Callithrix jacchus: one gene and its partners. The protein of the gene in region 2 interacts with the protein of the main gene of each other region in a biochemical or structural test. Links are inferred from orthologs where the notes say so. Each region holds a gene or a part of one and is shown on either strand. Other genes may lie near its edges. The genes, in order: RB1, CCND1, CDK6, CDKN1C, CRYAB and ESR1.

Region 1 (3,500 bases), on a different chromosome or scaffold from region 2:
CAGCTGTAAGCATGTTTTATGTATGCATAAACAAGTTTTCTGACCCTAAAGTACTTAAAAATAAGAATTTTAACAACCATACTACATCAAAATAGCTACAATGCATTTAAATTTTTAACCATTTTAACTAATACCCTAAGTTCTCCTTAAAAAAAAGTACATTAATGATAAAATGTTCCAGGGCAATTCTTAAGTAAAATTATTCTGTTTGCCATACCTAACATACACATTCGTTGACTCTAACAAGAGCTTTATATGCATTAATTTATTTAATCTGCACAGTAACTCCCCAAGATCCAGAAATTATTGTCAGTTCCTTTTACAGATAAGAAAACTAAGGCTTGAAAACTGTAAGTAACATGTTCAGGATCATGGAGCTAGTAAGTGGTATATCTGCTTGACTCTTAATCCTTACTCTTAACCCATCCATCCTCTATCCCAATAAACATCACCTACTTTCTACTGTCAAAAGGGTTTCCTTTTTGAAGGTTAAATTCTCAGGCCAACGCTCAAAAACTTAACTGCACTTAAAATCATATTTCAAGGACATCATCTTCTGCCATACCCTTCAAAAGCATACCTCAAATCCCAAAAGTAACATGAAATTCCTTTCTTACCTTCCTCCAGTACCTAGCCATAAATAATTTCACACATCCTAGTCCCCATCACAAGCTCCATTAGAAAATAAGATTTAAACTGGGCTAGTTCCCAGGGAAGGTAGAGACAAAGCCGGGATTTAAAAAGGGCAATAAAACAGTAACATTTGCATATATATATATTTTTTTTTTCAAATCTGAAGCTCAAAAAAGATTTTACTGTTAAAACTTTTATTGTTATAGTTCAGTACAAAAAAATAAGTTATGTGAACTAGGCTGGAAACCTAACTACAATATCACACTTGCAAACAGATTTGGAACACAATGCACTTATAAATTGAAAACTATAGTATGTATATACACTAATACTCTCTATAATCAGCCATCCCTTCCAAAATTTCTGAACACTAAAAATCTATTATTTTAGGAAGAGAAAAGTGAAGGCGCTCTGATCCGTTTAACTGTATATGCACAAAAACAGCTTTGTACATGAAGTTCCCAAGTCAGTTAAAATATAAATTAGATGCCTGGGGATTATAACACCCAAGTCATACATTCAAGATACTCAGTAATCCTCTCTTTTTAGATAAGAAGTATAAGACTATGTTCAATTCTTTGGAAATTACAACAGTTGTTTTCTCTTTTTTACTGCCAGAGATTTTTTTTTAATGGTTTTAAACAGTTTTCTTATAGGACATAAATAAACACATTTTGCTCTGTTAATCTGATCAGTAAAAACAGATACTCTTACACTACTATACTGAGACGGTAAATTCATTAAAAGTATCTGTCTGAAATGTAATCTAGCAATAATCATCAAGAGTTCATAGCTTTTGATGCAGTAATTCAACTTAAAAGAATTTATTCTAATAAAATAATCAGATATTCATTCATTAATTTATTTAACAAATTATCAAGGACTCACTTTGTACCAAGCATTACTCTTATGAATACATAGTTTATTACATTATTTTACAGCATCAAAAAGTTGGAAAAAGCCCAAATGTCCAATAATGGTGAGAGTTAACAAATTAAAATACATCCAATAGCTAAAATATAATACTCTCACTAGAAACTATATTAGAAAAAAAATTTAATAACATAAGAAAATGGTCATATTAGGAAAAAACAAGAAAATACAAAACTATGTAACTACACGTAATTATACATAACTATATATAATCTCAAATTTATATTTGAGATCTTATTTTCTAGGGACAAGGTTCTTATTTTTCTAGGGTCAAGTTACTCAACCGCACTCTACTTTGGTGTCTTCATCTTTAAAATGAAGATTTCACATAAAATAGAGATTTTATATTTCATATATCAATGGTCTTAAAATGAGTTATCTGTATATTTCTAAAGTTCTTTTTTTTTTCCTTTTTGAGATAGAGTCTTGCTTTGTTGCCCAGTCTGGAGTGCAGTGGCATTATCTTGCCTCACTGCAACCTTTGCTTCGCAGGTTCAAGCAACTCTCCTGCCTCAACCTCCCAAGTAGCCGGGATTACAGGCATCCACCACGATACCTGGCTATTTTTTGTATTTTTAGTAGAGATGGGGTTTCACCATGTTGGCCAGGCTGGTCTTGAACTCCTCAAGTGATCACCCACCTCGACCTCCCAAAGTACTGGGATTATAGGTTTGAGCCACTGTGTCCAGACTTATTTTTTTATTTTTTGGCAACAGGGTCTTGCTTTGTTGCCCAGGCTGCAGTGCAGTGGTGTGATCTTGGCTCACTATAACCTCCGCCTCCCAGGTTCAAGTAATCCTCCCACCTCAGCCTCCCAAGTAGCTGGGATTACAGGCATGCACCCCCACACCCAGCTATGTAAAGTTCTTATACTATTCCCCCAGTACATATAAAATACTGGTAATTTTTTGCTGCTGTTATTAAACATACACATATATACATATGCAAAGAAAAAATGAAAAGAATATATCAAAATATTTTCAAGATCCTGAATTCTAACAAAATTAATTATAAGACAATTAGGAAATCTGAACAGTGACTGCATATTAGAAGGTATACAAATTATTTTATAAGGTATGGTGGTTTTTTTTAAAAAGTCCTTGTATTATAGTGAATAAAATATAACTAAGACCTGCATTAAAATAGTTTGGTGGGAGGCATATATAGCGAGATTTTTTCCAAACATTTTTAATGTTACAAGAGGTAAATATCCTCTGAGTAATGGAATTATAATTAGCTTTTATTGTCTTTATATTTTTCTATCTTTCAATTTTCGTATAGTGATTTGAAGTTGTTTTTTAAATGAGAAAAAAAATTCAGAATGTTTTAAGAAAATCCTTACCAATACTCCATCCACAGATGAAACTTTCTCCCAAGTTAACCAAGCTCTCTCTCTGACATGATCTGGTATCTTTAATTTCTGACATAACGCTGTAAAATCAGGTTCTTCAGTTTCTTCAAACTCAACCCTATCAAATGAAAATAATCATATAATTGGCATATACTTATAAATCATATTAATTCAGTAAACACTTGTTTCAATAGTTTACACATTATAGCACTATTGTAAAAGAGAACATTACTAAATATCTTGAGATCTTATTTTACCTTAGAAAGAAATTATATTTCGAATTTAAATGTATCATTATCTTTTTCATGGTCATTGAAAAATAAGGCTACCACACAGTGAGAAATATTTGCTTGCATGGTGAGTCAAATATACTTTAGAGCAGCAAAACACTCCTGCAAAGGAAAGTAAATGTAATAGCTAAAGCTGTTTGGGAAAACAGCATAAGCATAACAACAAAAATATTAAAAACCCAAAGATAATATTATACAATTTAATGGCAGTAACTTTGCTAAACTGTAGTCTACTCTTATCAATGTTTCATATAATCTCTCTACCTACTAGCACATCTTACATGATGATACTG
Region 2 (4,216 bases):
AAACCATTCTGGAATAATACACTAACTGCTGGCTACCTGTGTCAGAGGGTGCGCTGAAATAGGTTTGGGGGGGCTCTGCCCTCAAGGGATTGGGGGAGAAGATGCTATTGTGTCTTTGATGTCCCGGACCTTGTGGCCTGTCACCCAGAGTGAGCCCACAAACAGATGTGACAACTGAGGCTTGACCAAAAGGGGGCAGGGCCCCCCCATCAGGGTAACCAGGGAAGGAGGCGCACAGGGGGGTCAGAGGCAGGGCTGGGGACAGCAGGAGGCAGCACCCTGTGTATGCATGTGTCTATCCCAGTTGGGTCCTGGGGCCAGGGCCATGCCAGCGGAGGTGAGGACTGGGTACTTCTGCTGCCCACGGTGGCGGCCTAAGCTGAGACTGCTCTGAAGTGCTCCCCAGGGCTCAGCTGAGCCCAGCAGACTGGCGGCACCCCTGGCAGGGCCTCAGGCAGCTGAGCTCCTCTGCTGGACACCCCTGCACTCAGCTGCCCAGAACACGTGGTGCAGGCGGGCCGACAGCTCTCCCCGCCCCCGGAGGCGCCTCTGGCAAGTCGCCCAGCCTGGGAGAGGCCAGGAGGGGGCCCCCGCAGCTCAGGCTCCTTAAGGACACAAGAAGGGCTGGAGGTCGGTGGGGAAAGGAGGCGGCCCTGCGGCCAAGGTAAACCCCTTTCGGCCTGGAGGATGAGGCCACAGCATCTAGACACAGGCAGGCTGGCTGCGTGGTGGCGCGGCCGTAAGGGCAAATCCCCTTCCATCCAGCGCAAACAAGCCAGCACCTCTGCTCACCAGAGCTGGAAGAACTCTTCCCAGCGCAGGCGGGGGCCTAGGGACGTCCTCCGGGACAGCACCCAGGTGCAGAGCAAGAAGCTGGCCAGGCCACCTAAGGTGCTGGCTTTCAAGGGGAGGCTGGGGGCGGCTGGGCCTGCCCTACCTGTAGCGCAGAGGGCAACGAAGGTCTGCGCGTGTTTGCGGATGATCTGTTTGTTCTCCTCCGCCTCTGGCATTTTGGAGAGGAAGTGTTCGATGAAATCGTGCGGGGTCATGGCGGCCAGGTTCCACTTGAGCTTGTTCACCAGGAGCAGCTCCATTTGCTGCGAACACAGGGTGAGCGGCTATCAGGGGAGGTGCGGGCCGGCCTGGGGACGCGGGGAAGCCGGCAGTATGGCCCTAGCCCCTGAGTCTCGTGTGGTCCTGGGGGTGCGGGAGCAGGACTGGCGAATGCTGGGGGGTCCAGGAAGCTGGGGCAACACACGATCCCAGATCAAAACAGAAAAGGCGCCCGCCGCGTGAAAAGATTCTGCAAGTGGAAACAAAAAGACTTCCCACCACCTGGAACGGAAGGCTCAGCGTGGAGCGCGGCGTTCCCGGTGCAGCCGCTGGAGGGCGCGCGCCGCCCATTTTTCGGCCACACCGCAGAGCGCTAACGAGGTGGGAGTCGCAGGCAAGCGCGCACGGGGCGGCTAGGATCCCACCCGCTCCCAGGACGAGGACACCCGGCAAAGGGGCCGCCTGCCGCCCCTGCACCTTCCCCGGCCCGGTGGTCCTGCGGCTCGCGGGGGGCGGCGGGGGTCCCGCGGTTACCAGCAGCTCCTCGGGCTGGATGGAGTTGTCGGTGTAGATGCACAGCTTCTCGGCCGTCAGGGGGATGGTCTCCTTCATCTTAGAGGCCACGAACATGCAGGTGGCCCCCAGCAGCTGCAGGCGGCTCTTTTTCACTGGCTCCAGCGACAGGAAGCGGTCCAGGTAGTTCATGGCCAGCGGGAAGACCTCCTCCTCGCACTTCTGCTCCTCGCAGACCTGCGGGGGCACGGGGCCCGTGACCGCCGCCGCCAGGTCGCGCCACCCCCACCCCACTCCCCCGCCCTCGCATGCCCATCGCGCTCGGCAGGACCACCAGTTCTGGAGGGCGCCGAGGGGTCGGGGCCGGGGGCGGCAGAAGCTTCCTGTGATGCGCCCCCTCTCGCGCGCGTCCCGAGTATCCACCCTCCCTGAAACTGAAAGGGAAAGTCCCCGCGAGGCTGGCATGGTGGGGGCGGGAGCGGGCACAGCTGGGCGGCGGCGCGGGCTGCAGGCCCCGGGGACCCCAGCCCGCCCTGGAGCTCCGTGGCCCCTCTGGCTGTGGGTCGACACCCACTGGGGTGCGGGGCCGCGCAAAAGGCCGCGGGGTTGGGCGCCGCGCCTGCGAGACACAAAGGTGGCGTCCCAGGCCGCCGCGCCGCATTTCCCCAGACGTCATCTTTTCAAAAAATATTTAAAAATATTTAAAAAATAACTAAGTGCGTAAAAATACCCTGAAAATGACCCTCGGACGGCCCTTTACCCAGGCCGGGGGTCGGGAGTTTGTTACAGGGTCCGGGGGAAGCCCCAGGAATTCAAACTCCGGGGACCCCCTTCCCCCTGGGCGCGGGCGGTGTTTCCCTCTCGCAAGGGCACCACGCCGCACTTTCAAAAATTATTTAAAAATACTTGCGGGCCCCTCAGGCGCCTACCGAAGGTGTGAAAATGTTCTCCCAGGCCCCCGGCTCGCTCGGAGAAGGTCCCCCAAGCCGAGATCCCTGCAGACGGGGATCCAGCCCTGGCGTCTTGGGGGCCACGCGACCTTGCAGCTCGGCGTGCTCTCCGGCCCAGGCTGCCCGTGCGGGGCGCTTTGGGACTCGCTGCTTGAACAAAGGCCCCCCTTTCCCCAGCGGGGTCCCCCCAAAACTACCCATGCTGCGTCCCCGCGCCCCTCCCGCGGGCTCCGGGCAGCCGCCGGGCCCCTAGTTGCGGCCCCAGCGCCCGGCGGCCGCTCCCCGCCCCCACCCTGCCCCCAATTATTAATAAACACTTTTGCTGTGCAATAAAAGAGCAAAGATGGCGCATAATACTGGCACGAGAAGCCCTTGCATACGTGTCCATGGATAGTAATTTAAAAATCAAATCTATGCCCCCTCCCCCCGGAGTTGGAGGCTCTCGGCCGCGGCGGCCGGGAGAGGAGCCGCAGCATGGCTGGGGCGCAGGCGGGGGGCACAAAGCGCACCTAACCTGCCAGCCCGCACCCTCGGGCCCATTGGGGTGCTCCTGGCACTGGCTTCTCCTGGAGGCACCCCTCCCCGACCCCCTCCTCCCGTCCCAGGAAACGCAACTCCTAGCACCCCCACCCCCACCCCTTCCTTCTTCAGAAAATACCCACAATTTTTATTTTGAAAATACCTAGCAACACCCCGGCAAACTTCAAAGGTCTAGCGGGAGAGAAGAGAGGGGAGTGAGAAGCAAAGAAACGTGGGTATGGGCAACAAGTTGCAGGGAGGTCTTAAGAGAGCCGCCCGAAGCCCCGCACCTCCAGCATCCAGGTGGCCACGATCTTCCGCATGGACGGCAGGACCTCCTTCTGCACACATTTGAAGTAGGACACGGAGGGTGCGCAGGTCTCCTCCGCCTTCAGCATGGCCCGCAGCACCCGGTCGTTGAGGAGGTTGGCATCGGGGTAGGCGCGGCGGATGGCCTCCACTTCGCAGCACAGGAGCTGGTGTTCCATGGCTGGGGCTCTGCCTGGGCAGCTGGGGAGGGCTGTGGGTTCCGGCTGCGTCCGCGCTCGGCTCTCGCTCCTGCTGCCCCGCGCTCCCTCGCGCTCTTCTGCCCCTCGCCGGAGCGCGCGGACTCTGCTGCTCGCGGCTACTGCGCCGACAGCCCTCTGGAGGCTCCAGGACTTTGCAACTTCAACAAAACTCCCCTGTAGTCCGTGTGACGTTACTGTTGTTAAGCAGAGATCAAAGCCGGGCAGAGAATGGGAGCGGGAGGGGGCGGGGGCGGGCGCAGGGGGAGGGGGCGCGGGCGCCAAACGCCGGGAGCAGCGAGGGGCAGAGCCCAAAAGCCATCCCCGAGGCGCCGCGCCTGCCCTGCGGCGGAGTTGCCCCCGTAGTCCGGTTTTCATAGAAATGCAAATCGCCCCGCTGCAGCCTTTCTCCCCGCCAGAAAAGAGGGGTACAGGGGGCCCGGTCCGACTCGAACGGGTCCCCCGGGATTTGGGGGTGGGGTGGAGGTGGCTCTGCAGTAGGGGACAACTGGGAAGCCCCACAGGCCACACGCAGCCTAGGGAGACCACGAGGAGGGGGGACTCCGGGGCGCGGCGACACCCCATATCCAAGCCGGCAGAATCGGCGCATTTCCAAGAACGCCACGAGGGCACCCACGAGCGGACAGACGGCCAAAGAATCTCAGTTTCTGCATC
Region 3 (3,500 bases), on a different chromosome or scaffold from region 2:
TATAGAAGCTAAAGATGAAGAGCCAGCATGACATTACTTTAGGTTAGTCATGCTTTTTAAAATTCAGTGCTTACAAGTTGTGTGCATGTGTTTCCAATAAAGACTTATTTGCCACAGCAGAAGAGGACTTCTTGAACATTTTGTGCTACATTTTCACACTCCTGTTTATTCATTGCAACTTATTGGACCTGCAGTGTTTCTCAAGTCTTGAAGGGTTTTCCCTCCCCCACACAGTCTTCTCCAGAGTTTTGGGAAGCTTAGAAGGTAACCCCTGCCAGTTCAGAATATTCACTTAGGGGGATCTCAAAAATGATTCTAGGTCACTGCATGCCCCCTCAAGTGCTTTGTTCACATCAATCTTGTAGCAGTGGTCATGTTTCCCTTTAGTTGTTTGTGATTCTGTCTCCCCGAGAAATCAGGACACTTACCTTGACAATAATCATCCTAATAATTACTGTTTGTCAAATGTTTACCATATGCCAGAAACTGCACCAGCACTTGGCATACATTACTTCATTTACCCCCCTAATAGTAGGAAAAGTAATTGCTACTTTCTCCACCTAATAAAAGAAAAAACTAAGGCTTAGGTTTTAAACAAGCTAGGATATAAAGGCAGAACTCCCAACTCTAAAGGAAGAACCAAAACCATAAACCAGTAACCGAAAACATAAACCAGTAACCAGATATACTGTTCTCAGAGGATTCAGTGATCTGACCGATAAGTGTATCCTCATAGCCCCTTTCAGCTCTGAAATCCATGAGGGTGTCCAGTCATTTTTCTAACCCTTATATTAACAAAATGGCTCCATCCTCCCTTGTATACACCATTCTCATATTTGGGTGGGGGGAGTAGGTCACTCTTAATTATCACAAATTTCAGAGGATCATGACATCATGCCCAATGTCTTAGTTCCTACTTTCCAACACTGTTCCTGAGTGTTAAATCTTGTACATATTTATATTGATCCTAAAATTAGAAAAAGATCTGATACTGGTCTATATTCTGAATGCTCCTCTCCTCCATGCTGGTTGAAAATAACAGTAATAAGAGCTGCCATTTACTGAATATTAACTTGGTGCTAGGTGCTTTACAATAATCCTTTGATAAAGTGGGTTTTGTTACTTTCCCATTTTACAGAGAGGGAAACTAAGGCTTAGAGAGGTTAAATGGCTTGCCTTATTTTACATACTCATTTTTTCATTGATTTGATAAAGGAATACATCGGAGATTTGAATTGAGGTTTTCCAGACTCTAGTTTAAATCAAGACTGTTAATACTCTAAAAGAGTTGATTACAACTGGGCATGGCGGCCCACACCTGTAATCCCAGCACTTTGGGAGGCTGAGGCAGGAGAATAGCTTGAGCCCAGGAGTCTGAGACCGCCCTAGTCAATATAGTGAGACCCCGTCTCTACAAAAACTAAACCAGCCTACCATGGTTGTGTGCACCTGTGGTCCCAGCTACTTGGGAGGCTGAGGCAGAAGGGTCTCTTGAGCCCAGGAAGTCAAGGCTGCATCACACCCCTGTGCTACAGCCTGGGTAACAGAGCAAGAGCCTGCCTAAAAGTGGACAATGCTTAGAATAGTGCTTGACATACAGTGAGTGTTTGGTATTAGGTGCTATCAAATAATAATCACCATTAAAAACAATATTGTTATACACTGGATTTTGATTGTTGAAATGACACATTAAACAATATAGAAGCAAAAAGTGTCCCATCACGACCTCTTCTTTCCTTCCCCCAGCATGAGCCACTGAGACCAGTTTGACAGATAACCTTCTAGAACATTTCCTGTCCCATCAAAAATATTTTAAAATTGTCCTTTCATTAATAAAATACAGGTTGAGAGTGAAACTTTTTGCAGTGTTGCTGAAAGTGTGGGAGTGGAAAGGCAGGAAGGGAGACAGATTCACTCAATCAGCCATCCTTATCAAAATGCCTGCTGCGTGCCAAGCAGCCACAAAATGCTGAGGCTGAACTTCTGTTTTGAGCGTTTATTGATTTTCTCTTTTTTTATTTTATTAGGATATGATGTTTCAGCTTCTCCGAGGTCTGGACTTTCTTCATTCACACCGAGTAGTGCATCGCGATCTAAAACCACAAAACATTCTGGTGACCAGCAATGGACAAATAAAACTCGCTGACTTCGGCCTTGCCCGCATCTACAGTTTCCAGATGGCTCTAACTTCAGTGGTGAGTGGGAGAGTGCTGTCCTTTAGTAAACTTACTTTTCCTCTTTTGAATAACAGTCTGTCCCCCTTCCATGTCCCTAATGTTAGTACTGCCCATGGCTAGTTGGTTGATAGAATGTCTTTGCCCTTTTTTATATGCCAGTGGGTAGGCAAAAAGCATTCTGCCTACAGCTACAGTCACATCCAGGCTGGGCTTGTTGTGAACAGGACCCATTGCAGAAATAGCCTGTTGCGTCTTAGCCACTGGACAGGAATCAGTTACAGGTTTCCAAATGCTTTCTGCCATAACCACTGTTTTCAGAGCTGTATGCACAATGCCCAGGGAACACACAGCTCAAGGTCAGGGAAGAAAGAGTATAAGCAATGTTGACCTGTCTGCAGCATCCTGGTTTGAGAAACAGAGTGTCTACATAAGTGTGTTAAATCACTTCTCTGAATCTGTGGTGCCAGCTGTAAAGAAGAAATCAAATTTACAGTGAACTTGGATAATGCATGAATGTTTTAACACTGCCATGCCAGGTGAAGGCTCATATAAGCCTCAATAGAAAGAGCAAACCCAACGGCCCTGTTTTGGCAGAAAATGACAATTGTGATATCCTGTTTCTTTGTGCCATTCAGGTGCAAAACCATAATCTCCATTGACATTGCTTAGCTTCTATTTCTCCATATAGTTTATTATTTCTCAGATGGATTTTTGTGAAATTCTGCACCTCAAATACAAACATAGCAGCCTGGAAATAGATGTTAATGTGCTTCTCTTAGAAAGCTATTTTGCATACAGTAAATTCACACCTTCTGTACAGTAAATTCAGCCTTAAGAAAAAGAATTTTAGAAAAAGAAAATGTCTTTGTATATTCAAAGAAATAAAAAATAAAAAGAAGCCATGTTGTTCATCTTTACCCTCAGAGTGGTTCTCACATCAGCAACAGCACGGCCCTGTTGTTAAGAAATGATTGGCAGCATCTTTGGTCATTCTGTACAGCAAAAAAATTGTTTCCCCAAATTTCAGTAATACTTCAGCTGATAAGTAGAAATTCAAGAGAGGAGCTGGAAATTCTCTGAGACAGATAACTTGCCTTAGGAAAAAAATCCAGTTTATAAAAGTGTTCCCCACCTCCTACCCCCAATCAAAATAGGAGTGCTACCACCTGGACATGTAACACCAATTACTTTCCAAACACTATAGACTTTTCCTGGGGCATCAGAACTTTTAGTGCAGAGGATTCCTTGGAAAATGTTTCCATTGTTAGGAGATAAATCCTACTTGCTTCCTCTTTGCCCAGCATACACCACTGCTTTAGAGAA
Region 4 (4,034 bases), about 2.4 Mb from region 2:
GTCCTTCTCAGCCCCTTCCCCTATGACCTCAGGCAGATCTTTCACTTTTACCCAGTACAGCAGCCTCCAAGCAGCCTGAACAGGCCGATCCCGGGGCTGGGGTGGCCTGGCCCAAGGCTGAGGGGGGCCGGGACCCCCGACAGTGACATGATGGGCGCAGCCCAGTTTGGGCTAAGCCTGTGTTCCATCTACTGGGCAGGGTAGGCCTCCGCAGATGGCGGCTTCTCTCTCCAGCCCCAGGGGGCTGCTGGGCGCCTCTCCAAGTGTCCTACACATGGTCCCTCCGGGAAAGAGTGGAGCTGACCCCGTCCCCCCTTCCCGACTCGAGGGCCTTCGGGCCGGCAGGTGTGTGAGGGCTCCAGGTGCGCGGACCCTTCGAAGGGACACAACCCAGCAGCCGCAGCAGGCCGCGCGGGGGCAGCCGAAGACCCCGTCCGGCGCAGGCCGGGGCCGAGCTGGCAGCGGCGGGTCCAAGTCCCGTCAGCCGGCGCAGGAGGCCCAGGGGCGAGCACGGGACGGGGCTGGGCGCCGGGGTCCGGACCGGGCCGGGGTCGCGCGGGGCCTGGCCGGACACCGGACCCGCCGGGAGCCGGCCCCTGCCGCGCTGGACCGAGGCCCCCGCCTGCAGACAAAGGAGCCGGCGGGGGGCGGGAGCCGGGGGGGGGGGGGCAGCGGGGGGGATGGGGCGAGGGGGCGGGGCGTCGCGGTGTCACGTTACCGCCCGCAGCGCCCTTTAACTCCCGCCCCCGCCCCGCTCACCGCCCCCTTCCCCTGCTACAGCGCGCTCACCCCGCGGCCGCCAATCAGCCGCGCGCCCCGGCCGCGCGCCCCGCCTCGCCCTCGGTGGGTGTGCTCGCGGCCAATGGGCGGCGCGCGGGGGCGGGGCCGCGAAGGGGCGGGGCGGCGGGGCGGGGGCCAATCGCCGCGGTGTTGTTGAAACTGAAAATACTACATTATGCTAATCGCGGCCGGGCCCGCGCGCACGGGGGTGGGGCCCGCGCGTATAAAGCGGGCGCAGGCGGGCTGGGCGTTCCACAGGCCAAGTGCGCTGTGCTCGAGGGGTGCCAGCCAGGCCCGAGCAGCGAGCGAGCCAGCAGGCATCGAGGGGGCGCGGTTGCCGGCCCGACCAGACCAGCGAATTCCACGCAGGAGAGTGTTCGACCCGACCGCCAGGTAGCCGCCGCGCCCGCCCTTCCGCCGCGTCCCCCGCACACGCGGCGTCGGGCTGCGCGGGGTCTCCCTCGCGCCCGGCCTCCGCCCTCTCCTCCTGTCCTCTTCCCCCTCTTCTCGCTGTCCTCTCCTCTCCCGCTGCCCGCGATCGCGCAGTCCCGGGCCATGTCCGACGCGTCCCTCCGCAGCACATCCGTGATGGAGCGTCTTGTCGCCCGTGGGACCTTCCCAGTACTTGTGCGCACCAGCGCCTGCCGCAGCCTCTTCGGCCCGGTGGACCACGAGGAGCTGAGCCGCGAGCTGCAGGCCCGCCTGGCCGAGCTGAACGCCGAGGACCAGAATCGCTGGGACTACGACTTCCAGCAGGACATGCCGCTGCGGGGCCCCGGACGCCTGCAGTGGACCGAAGTGGACAGCGAGTCGGTGCCCGCGTTCTACCGCGAGACGGTGCAGGTGGGGCGCTGCCGCCTGCTGCTGGCGCCGCGGCCCGTCGCGGTCGCGGTGGCTGTCAGCCCGCCCCTCGAGCCGGACGCTGAGTCCCTCGACGGCCTCGAGGAGGCGCCGGAGCAGCTGCCTAATGTCCCGGTCCCGGCCCCGGCGTCCACCCCGCCCCCAGCCCCAGTCCTGGCTCCGGCCCCGGTCGCGGTTCCGGACGTGGCTCCGGTCGTGGCTCCGGGTCTGATCCCGGCTCAGATCCCGGCTCCGGTCCCGGCTCCAGTCGTGGCTCCGGGTCTGATCGCAGGTCCGGTCGCGGCCCCGGTCGTGGCCCCGGTCTTGGCCCCGGTCGTGGCCCCGGCTCCGGTTCTGGCTCCGGTTCTGGCTCCGGCCCCGGCTCCGGTCGCGGCCCCAGCCCCGGCCCCGGCCCCGGTCCCAGCTCCGGTCCCGGTTCCGGGCCCGGCCTTGGCTCCGGCCCCCGCCCCGGGCCCGGCCCCGGACGCGGCTCCTCAAGAGAGTGCCGAGCAGGGCGCGAACCAGGGGCAGCGCGGCCAGGAGCCTCTCGCTGACCAGCTGCACTCGGGGATTTCGGGACGTCCAGCGGCCGGCACCGCTGCTGCCAGCGCCAACGGCGCGGCGATCAAGAAGCTGTCCGGGCCTCTGATCTCCGGTGAGCCCCGCACGGCCCCGCCCCGGCCCGGCCCGGCCCCGCTTTGTCCCGCCGGCCGGTCTCCCCAGCCCTCGGGGGGCCTCGCTGGGTTCCCGCCTCCTCCCGTGGCATTAAAGGGCCCGCAGCGCTCAGGGCGCGGCTGCGCCCTCACCCCCCTCCCTGCCCCGTGGTCGTGCCCTCGAGCGGCTTGCGCGGGCGGGGTGGGAGGAGGAGCCCCGGCGGCGACCCCCCGGGAGCGCAGCCTTCACCCCCGGCCACAGGAGACCCTCCCCGGGCGCCGCCGGGCGTCGTGATCGCGGCGCGGAGGGGGTTAAGCGCAGCGGCGGCCCCGGGGGGCTTGGCCGCGGGACAAGGGGAAATGCTTACACAGCACATTGCGCGGCGACGTAAACAAAGCTGACCCGCCGCAGACCTCGGCGCGGGCAGGGACGGCGCCCCCACCCCGGCCAGCCCGCGCCCCAAGCCCTCTCCCGGCCCCCTCTTGGGTCTCTCGGCCGGCCCCGCCCTGACCGGCCGTGCGCGCTGTCGCCCGCAGATTTCTTCGCCAAGCGCAAGAGATCTGCGCCTGAGAAGGCGTCGGGAGAGGTCCCCCCGCCGTGTCCCGCTCCCAGCGGCGCCCCCGGCGTGGGCTCGGTGGAGCAGACCCCGCGCAAGAGGCTGCGGTGAGCCAAGTGAGTACGGCGCACCTGGGGGGCGCGGGGGGCCTTCCTGCGGGGTGCTCTCGGACTTTGCTGACCTCCCCTCTCTCCCCCGCTCCGCAGTTTAGAGCCCAAAGAGCCCCGAGGGAACCTGCCGGGGCAGCGGACGTTGGAAGGGCGCTGGGGCCTCGGCTGGGACCGTTCATGTAGCAGCAACCGGCGGCGGCTGCCGCAGAGCAGCGTTCGGTGTTTAAATTCTGAAAACTGTGCAATGTATTGATTACGTCTTTTTATATCTAAATGTATTCTGCACGAGAAGGTACACTGGTCCCAAGGTGTAAAGCTTTAAGAGTCATTTATATAAAATGTTTAATCTCTGCTGAAACTCAGTGCAAAAAAAAAGAAAAAAGTAAAAAAAAAGTAAAAAATAAAAAAAACCATGTATATTTGTACAAAAAGTTTTTAAAGTTATACTAACTTATATTTTCTATTTATGTCCAGGCGTGGACCGCTCTGCCACGCACTAGCTCGGTTATTGGTTATGCCAAAGGCACCTCCACCTCCCACATCGTCCCGTTATTGACAAGTGTATAACTTTATTCTCATAGCGGACTCTGGGGAAAGGGGTCACTCACAAGCTGTAGCTGCCATCACGCCCACCTAGCTTGCATTCTCTTCGCGCTTTCGCTCTCTCTTACTATTACTGTGTTTATCTTAAACTTGAAGACAAATCTGTTAAAATGGTTCCTGAGCCGACTGTACCACTGCCCCGGCCCCTCGTCCGCCGGGTTCTAAATAAAGAGGCCGAAAGATGCTGCAACTCCAGTCTGTTTGTGCTTGTGCCTGCCTCCTGCACCCCCAAAGCTGGAGAGCTAGAACGCAGGAGAGAGCAGGCCAAAGTGGCCATCCCCAGTCCAAAAGGGGAAGCCTCTCTCCCGGCTGGGCCTGGCCCACTCCCGCCTGCTCCAGTCACCTTATCTCAGGAGGGGCAGCTGGCCGGCACTGCACCCCACATTTATCACCTTCCACCTTCGGGGCTGCAGAAAGACAAGTGTGGGCTTCACGTAGCCCCAGCAGGCAGGCAGCACAGCCCCTGACTTGCTGCCCAGACCCAGGCTTGT
Region 5 (4,045 bases), about 110 Mb from region 2:
ATGACTGGCTTCAGGAGATCAGTTAAGCCGAGTGGGGTGGAAGCCAGTAACGCTGGGAGGTCAGCCCAGAATTTCGGGAGGGTGGGAGGCAAGGGGGTGGCGTCTGTGCCATACCTTCTCCAAAGCGCTGCTCACCCAGGCGACTCGGGTTGGCAAATTCGTACTCGGCGGTGGCTGGGTGGGCATGTGGCACTGAGCGGCCCGACATGGCTGCAGAAGCAGCGGAAGCCCTGGTCCGAGGTGCAGCCCCAACAGACGCAGCGCGACCCCTCCAGCTGCCGGGAGAGCTAGGGCTCAATAGGAGGTGGGGGCGGGGTCGACACCACCCAAAATAGTGCCGTGCCTCTGCGGGGGAGGGGTGGGGAGTGGGGGCCCTCAGTGAGAGCAACAGGGTGTAACCAGTGCCGCCCGGACCCCTAGTCCCCTCCCCCGAACACTTCAGCTGTTGCAGGGGGTCTGAGAGGACAGCTGAAGGTCCTGGCTGGGAACAAGCTGGGGAGGGGGAGCTAGTGGTGTCTAGGACATGAAGAGGCCTTGCTGAGACCCTCACGAACGGTTTCCACGTTTCCACAGCACATTTCCTCCTCCTCAGTGGCAGGCACTGTGCACCCAATAAATTCCTAAAGCTCTCCTGGATTTAATTAATGTTCTGAGAGCCACATAGGATGAAAGATGCAAGAAGTCTTTTGCTCTTTCTTCAGGGGTGAGGTCTTTCTGCCCAGATGTCAGGGTCCTCCCCTGAACCCAGGTCAACCCAGGGCACGAGGCAGATGGCTGGTACTGACATGTTGACCATCACTGCTCTCTTCTAAGGACTCACAAAGAGTTAATGTCCCTGGGGCCCAGCCTAGGAAGATTCCAGTCCCTGCCCAGGCCCAAGATAGTTGCTGGCCTGATTCCCTTGGCATGCAGGACTGGAGAGGAGGAGGAGGGGCACACCCCCCTATGCCTGCTTGGGATTCCTGACTCTGTCCCAGCTTCAGAGAACAGGGGTGGGGGTGGGTGCCCATTGGGTGTGGACAGAAAGCTAGTGAAACAAGACCATGACAAGTCACTGGCCAGCTCAGACGTGTTTGTGTTTCTCTTTTCTTAGCTCAGTGAGTACTGGGTATGTGTCACACTGCCAAATCCCCGATCACAAGTCTCCATGAACCGGCAGTGAGCTAGGATAATAAAACCCCTGACATCACCATTCCAGAAGCTTCACAAGACCGCATATATAAGGGGCTGGCTGTAGCTGCAGCTGAAGGAGCTGACCAGCCAGCTGACCCCCAACACTCACCTAGCCACCATGGACATCGCCATCCACCACCCCTGGATCCGCCGCCCCTTCTTTCCTTTCCACTCCCCCAGCCGCCTCTTTGACCAGTTCTTCGGAGAGCACCTGTTGGAGTCTGATCTTTTCCCAACATCTACTTCCCTGAGCCCCTTCTACCTTCGGCCACCCTCTTTCCTGCGGGCACCAAGCTGGTTTGACACTGGACTCTCAGAGGTGAGTCTTCCCCTCCCAGGATGGGAGAGTCCTTACTGGAACATCCTGGAAACTTCTCCATCCATTTTTCTTTCCTTCCCTGCCTAAACAATTTTAGGCACATGTGTGTCCAAAAGTGAAGAAAAATGAGGTTGCTAGTGCCTTCCTCCCCTGTCAGCTATTTCTATTTGATGGTCCTCTGTATCCCATTTATTACATTTTTCTATGCACCGTCGAGTTCATCCTCTGTCCCCTAACTTCTCTCTGCAGGATACCCCTTTCTAGTTTGGTTCATAACGATCTGCAGGGAAAGAGCTGCCTTCGAACTCCTTTACTCATCTCTTCTAACACCTCAGACTCTTGACCAATTTTACCATCTCAGGTTTCAGAGCCAGGAGAGAGCCCTGCCTCATCCTGAGCTGTTCATCCCCACTGGGTGGAGCTGGGGCCAACCACCACTATTTTCTGCCTTTCTATTCCTTCTTCTAGGATTTTCTGGGTCCCTTAAGGCTGTGACAGAGCACTGGCCTGGGTCCAACCAAGCCTTATGAGGAAACAATATAGGTCTAGTCTTGGGATCCCCCACTTGTCCTGAGAGGGTGGGAGAAAAGGGTGAACAAATAAGGTTGACCGAAGCTGTTACAGATAACACTCTGGTTTAAAAATATTTGAGTGTGAGTAAACAGGACCTGAGTGGGCAAGGGCTTTGGAAGGACAAGCAGGACCAGCAGAACATTCCAGATTGGGTGGGTGGAAAACTGGCAAAGAGACCTGAGCAAGAAGAAGAAAGGCCTTTGTCTCACAGACAAACCACAAAGCCAGGCATTGGAGTCAGAGAGGCAGCAGATGCCAGGCCTGCACCCATCTTTGTGACTGGTCCCCTGGGTGATCTGTCTTCTTCTCTGTCCCTGGAAATAAAGTTTAGGTCTGATCACCACGAGCCTTAGGTATCACTATGGTGGCTCCCTGAAGCAGAGAGCCGTGTTTATTTAAAAAGGCGATTTTCTTTAAGCAGAAAAAAGAAGGATGAATTACCTGGACAGAAAGCAACTCTGCAGAATGGTAAGACAGCACCAGTATAATTAGTATTTTTGCCATCTTTTTCCAACCCCATTCTCTTACCTTGCTATTTTTAGATGCGCCTGGAGAAGGACAGGTTCTCTGTCAACCTGGATGTGAAGCACTTCTCCCCAGAGGAACTCAAAGTTAAGGTGCTGGGAGATGTGATTGAGGTGCATGGCAAACATGAAGAGCGCCAGGTATGTAGCTTGTTTTTGGTTTTTGTTTTCTGCTCATTCATTCAGTGCATACTGTAATAGTCTCAGTAGAGCTCTCAGCTTCGGAGGCTGGCTACATTCCAGTCCCAAGCCATAACGGTCTGGATCAGGGCTTACAAATCAATGTCTGGAAGACTAAGTTAGGGAGAGACCTACTGCTGTCATGACTGTTGTTATGGCCAGAGATGCGGCTTTTGTTTTATTTGATCACCTTAGATGGGATGCTGATGCCCCATCAAGGCCAGTGGTTCTGAATCTCGGCCACATTAGAATCACCAGGGGAACTTTCAAAAATCCTAATGCTCAGGCATACCCCAGACCAATTCAGTCAGAATTTTTAGGGATGGGACCCAGACATCAGCATTTTTTAAGGTGATTCTAATCTACAGTCAAGGTTGAGAACCACCGATTTAGGGTTAGGGTTGTAAGACACCTAGTTGCTTTGCATAATTACATTAACTACATGTACCCTGAAGGCTCTTGAGTTGTGACTTCTCTTTACTTGTGCAAGAATCCACGTTTCATCTTTAGTCCATCTTAATGCTGAACCACTTGGTTTGTCTAAATTTCAGTCTTCAGTCCCCCTGTAGCCTATGTGGAAATCAGTTAATGAGAGCCTGTTTGGTTACATGCTTGAGAGTCGGCAGGCATACGGGTAAAGGTCACCTACCCTTTGTGGGAATTCTGACGAATGGAACAGCTTCTCATGACTTTGTGAGAGGGCTTTAAAATTGTTTCTTACCAATTAATGATAGCTCAGAACCTGTGCATCAACTAGTACAGTTTGTCCTTAGTAACGTCCTCGAGCTGTTTCCATTTTGCTCATATGATTTAGGTTTGGGTTATAGTCTCCTTGGATGGAGTCATTTTTCTTCTTCTTCTTCTTTTTTTTTTTTTGCAGCAGTCCTATTGTTCTGGAACATTCTGGGACATTCCTGAAGAGTCAGGACAATTTCCGGGTTTCCTCAGGGACTCAGATTCTAAATGAGATTCCAAATTCTGTAGGCCCAGCCAACAGAATTTGATCTAAACCTTTGGGAAATACCCCTAAACATGTCTATGCCTCTGGGTTTGAAAAACAATGATGTATTGGGCTGTTTCAGACTTCTCAGATTCTCACTGGTAGGAATGACTCTACCTAGGCAACTTCATCTTAACTCCAAACCTGAAACAAAGAATTATTTATTCTTCCTATGTTGTCATGGCATCTGGTCTCACCTAAGGGGAAATCGGGATGCTTGAGTTCTGGGCAGGTGATAATATTTCCTGTTTTTATTTCTCTGCCTCTTTCCTCATT
Region 6 (3,500 bases), on a different chromosome or scaffold from region 2:
TGACTAATTTTATTTTGCTTGGTCAGACAAGTAGGCCTTTGATTTACAACAGCTGCTTTCCCATGGAACACACACACACACACACACACACACACACACACACGGTTTCATTTTTCGCCTTTATAATTGTTTTTTAAATGATCAAGTAAGAAGACATAGTTTATTCGTCTAAGGATTTTGGAATCATTCAGGTCTTTTAAACTAACATGATGCAATTATAGAGTGGTTTTGCTGTAGATCTTATTAGCATAAGTTTGCCGAGCTCTGGCTTTAATAATTGCATTTTAACAATTATTAGCCTATATATAATATTTTCCTTTCCTTGGCTTCTCCACTTTATTCTTAAATTCAGAAAATTATTGATGTGAATTCTTCAACCACTGGTAATATATTTGAGCTTAATTCCAGTTGTTTCAAATGTTCTTTAATATTTTATTGCTATAAAAATGTCATGATGGGAATCTACCGATACATAGGAAAATGTCTATACTTGAATTCAGCAGTACTCCAGGGCTAATATTACCAAGATTTTATGAGGGAAAATATATGTTTACAGGAAAATAAAAATAAACAGCAACCAAGAGTTGGTTCTCAAATATATGACCATTAGTTTCTTCCTTTGTTTCTCTTTCCCTAAAATATAAGAACAAGGCAATAACAAATATAAAGAAAAAAATTACAGCTACATGACAGTTAGATCCAGCAATTAACTTATAATGTATCTGCTTCATATAAAAATGCTAAAATATGTAAGTACTCAAGAAAACTTTTCATTCTGAAGATGACCAGGAATTTTTGTTTGCCAGCTCAACTGACACTGAAAACCTAAATTTGCCTGTCATTCTCCATGCTTCCATGTAACCTAATAACCACCCAAACCACCAAAACGGTGGCCTCTGACAAGGTTGGGTTCCGATACTGCTGGCTCCTTCTTCTACAGCCCACATATTTATATGCTGATAGATACAAATACATGTAAGATTCTCCAATTCCAAACATAAGTTCACTTGGGCTGTAACACAGCAGTGACCCTTGAAACACAAATACCAAACTCCACATTTTTTTAGTTTCATACAAAACATTTTGTGCTTCATAGGAAACAATTAATTGTATCTATTAAAAGAACCCAAATGAGAAAATGTCTAACTAAATCTATCACTCATTTTAACTATAAGCCCAGAAAAAAAATTTAGCTTCCTCTTGCCTCGATTCATCTACATTAGTTCCTGAATGGATACACTGGGGCAGGGAGAAAGTCATTTCCTAGTCTTGTTTCCACACACACTTGAGTTCTTCTCCCTGAGCAACAAGAGTAACAGTCTAATTTTACCACAATACCACTTCTGAGAGTCAACTAAAGGAGCAAGGTGTCACTTCAGCCACTGTGTCTCTAAAAGTTTCTTTCAGTGATGATACCTTAATTTATTTTTCCACTGTCTTTCTCTTTTTCCTAAAATACTAAGCATAAACTAGGTTGGATAAATAATTGGCATTCAGTAAATAACCTTATTATTATCTCTTTAATCCATAAAGATCTTTCTTAACTTTTTTTTAAGACATGGTCTTGCTGTCACCTGAGCTAGAGTGCAGTGGCACTCCATATAAACACGACTCACCGAAACCTTGACCTCCTGGGCTCAAGCCATCCTCTAGCCTCAGCCTCCCCAGTAGCTGGGACCACAGGTGTGTGCTACTGCACCCAGCTAATTTAAAAAAATTTTTTTGTAGAGACAGGGTTTCAAAATGTTACCCTGGCTGGCCTCAAACTCCTGGGCTCAAGCAATCTCCCACCTCAGCCCCCAAAAGTGCTAGGAGTACAGGCATGAGGCATCACACCCAATCTTAAAAATCTTTTCAAGATAAAATTGTTTTATTAATAATTGAGATGTTTTGAACAAAGGTCATTAAATATTAAAAACTTTCGTAGATCATTTAGTGTTAAAAGTTTCTGCTACTGTGAACATATACTATTAAATAGTTTTATCATGTAGTGTCCACCCTAAATCTTTTTGGTGAATAGATGGTTAAAAATAAATTATGTCAATTTAAAAATTTTAGTCTCTTAGATTTTGATTTCAAAATATTCTTTTCTAACATCCAGGAAAATTACAGTGTGTTGATACTGAAAATGAACACATCTCCTATAACCTTGAAACGAGTTACATAACAAGTTATTGCTTGCTTCTTTTTCTCCTACTATTTCTCCCAGGACATCACAACCAGTTCTTGAAAAGCTATTGACTCTTAAAAGCTGAGTTTCACATTCTTACCTGGTACCCTCTTTGCCCAGTTGATCATGTGAACCAGCTCCCTGTCTGCCAGGTTGGTCAGTAAGCCCATCATCGAAGCCTCACTGAAGGGTCTGGTAGGGTCGTACTCGGAATAGATTATGGGGGGCTCAGCATCCAACAAGGCACTGACCATCTGGTCAGCTGTCAGGGACAAGGCTGGGCTGTTCTTCTTAGAGTGTTTGATCATGAGCGGACTTGGCCAAAGGTTGGCAGCTCTCAGGTCTCCAGTGGACCCCACTTCATTCCTGCCCTCCCCATCATCTCTCTGGCGCTTGTGTTTCAACATTCTCCCTCCTCTTCGGTCTTTTCGTATCCCTGAAAACACAGGGGGAAAACAACCAATTAATTTATTTTTTTCCCATGTAAACTTTTATACAAAACAATCTTCAAAGCTAACCGTCTTTCATTTTATGTGAAGAAATACTCTCAAGCAAGGTGAGCTGGTAAGTGTTTCACAAGTGTGTCTCCAAGAGAAAAAGAAAAAGACTTTGATTTGTAGCAGTGGCCAGTGTTCATGGTGTAAATGCTGCCACCATCGCAAATTTCAGGCCACTTGTCTGATATCAAGTGGCTTATAAAACTCCTGAAAATTGAACAGTGGGTGCTCATGAGCCCAAACAAACTGACTCTGACACACCAGGTAGGGTTGTGTGTGTGTAACAGGTGTTATAACAAGAACAGAATTCTAATTAGTTATTCTTAAAATATGATTTAGCATCAAAGCCTACTTCTGCTAGTAATATTGTCTTAATAGTAAATTAAAAGACAGTTTTTAAAAGCATGTAGTCCAAGGAGATGGGCAAGAATAAATAAGAATGACTTGCTCATAAGGTATATTTGAACAAACATGTGACTGAAATATATATATATATATATGTTATATATGTGTTTTTATATATAATATATTAAATGACACTTTAAAAACGTAGAGACACCATGAACTCTTCCCATTTGCTCAGTGTTAAAATAAACCTTTCTCATGTAATAGTAAAAATTATAATAAAGATTGTTATTACTAATATGCATTCAGCACTTACTACATATTTTAAGCATTTACATACTTGGAAGCAGTTTAGAACTAATTTAGTTCTTACAATAATCTTGTTAAATTTGAGAAACCATTAGTGAAATTAACCAACTTGTACAAGATCATTCTCTATTAAGTATGATTCCAGATTCTGGCTCTGAAAAGAAGTTTGCATTAACAAG

The links.
Region 1: of the proteins of CCND1 (region 2) and RB1, one has a biochemical effect on the other in vitro, tested with the Homo sapiens proteins (15 studies listed by BioGRID, with this or other methods). The link is inferred for Callithrix jacchus from reciprocal best matches to the Homo sapiens genes CCND1 and RB1.
Region 3: the proteins of CCND1 (region 2) and CDK6 form a complex in vitro, tested with the Homo sapiens proteins (3 studies listed by BioGRID and IntAct, with this or other methods). The link is inferred for Callithrix jacchus from reciprocal best matches to the Homo sapiens genes CCND1 and CDK6.
Region 4: the proteins of CCND1 (region 2) and CDKN1C form a complex in vitro, tested with the Homo sapiens proteins (2 studies listed by BioGRID). The link is inferred for Callithrix jacchus from reciprocal best matches to the Homo sapiens genes CCND1 and CDKN1C.
Region 5: of the proteins of CCND1 (region 2) and CRYAB, one has a biochemical effect on the other in vitro, tested with the Homo sapiens proteins (2 studies listed by BioGRID, with this or other methods). The link is inferred for Callithrix jacchus from reciprocal best matches to the Homo sapiens genes CCND1 and CRYAB.
Region 6: the proteins of CCND1 (region 2) and ESR1 form a complex in vitro, tested with the Homo sapiens proteins (2 studies listed by BioGRID). The link is inferred for Callithrix jacchus from reciprocal best matches to the Homo sapiens genes CCND1 and ESR1.

Annotation. Positions count from the first base shown.
Region 1 is NC_133502.1:67,635,181-67,638,680, forward strand, and holds part of RB1 (retinoblastoma-associated protein), read right to left. Parts: intron 3,036-3,500; coding exon 2,909-3,035; intron 1-2,908. UniProt on the Homo sapiens protein: Tumor suppressor that is a key regulator of the G1/S transition of the cell cycle. The hypophosphorylated form binds transcription regulators of the E2F family, preventing transcription of E2F-responsive genes.
Region 2 is NC_133511.1:126,558,929-126,563,144, reverse strand, and holds the start of CCND1 (G1/S-specific cyclin-D1), read right to left. Parts: upstream 2,801-4,216; 5' UTR 2,718-2,800; coding exon 2,496-2,717; intron 1,804-2,495; coding exon 1,588-1,803; intron 1,098-1,587; coding exon 938-1,097; intron 1-937. UniProt on the Homo sapiens protein: Regulatory component of the cyclin D1-CDK4 (DC) complex that phosphorylates and inhibits members of the retinoblastoma (RB) protein family including RB1 and regulates the cell-cycle during G(1)/S transition.
Region 3 is NC_133512.1:56,894,362-56,897,861, forward strand, and holds part of CDK6 (cyclin-dependent kinase 6), read left to right. Parts: intron 1-2,027; coding exon 2,028-2,195; intron 2,196-3,500. UniProt on the Homo sapiens protein: Serine/threonine-protein kinase involved in the control of the cell cycle and differentiation; promotes G1/S transition. Phosphorylates pRB/RB1 and NPM1.
Region 4 is NC_133511.1:128,973,932-128,977,965, forward strand, and holds CDKN1C (cyclin-dependent kinase inhibitor 1C), read left to right. Parts: upstream 1-1,234; 5' UTR 1,235-1,335; coding exon 1,336-2,275; intron 2,276-2,810; coding exon 2,811-2,941; 3' UTR 2,942-2,946; intron 2,947-3,036; 3' UTR 3,037-3,733; downstream 3,734-4,034. Other genes in the region: uncharacterized protein LOC118145682, read left to right, coding at 200-937. UniProt on the Homo sapiens protein: Potent tight-binding inhibitor of several G1 cyclin/CDK complexes (cyclin E-CDK2, cyclin D2-CDK4, and cyclin A-CDK2) and, to lesser extent, of the mitotic cyclin B-CDC2. Negative regulator of cell proliferation.
Region 5 is NC_133511.1:11,616,960-11,621,004, reverse strand, and holds the start of CRYAB (alpha-crystallin B chain), read left to right. Parts: upstream 1-1,245; 5' UTR 1,246-1,291; coding exon 1,292-1,492; intron 1,493-2,363; exon of another isoform or gene 2,364-2,497; coding exon of another isoform or gene 2,498-2,533; intron 2,534-2,607; coding exon 2,608-2,730; intron 2,731-4,045. Other genes in the region: HSPB2 (heat shock protein beta-2), read right to left, coding at 115-208; uncharacterized protein LOC118145697, read left to right, coding at 1,094-1,151. UniProt on the Homo sapiens protein: May contribute to the transparency and refractive index of the lens. Has chaperone-like activity, preventing aggregation of various proteins under a wide range of stress conditions.
Region 6 is NC_133505.1:158,786,676-158,790,175, reverse strand, and holds part of ESR1 (estrogen receptor), read right to left. Parts: intron 2,607-3,500; coding exon 2,271-2,606; intron 1-2,270.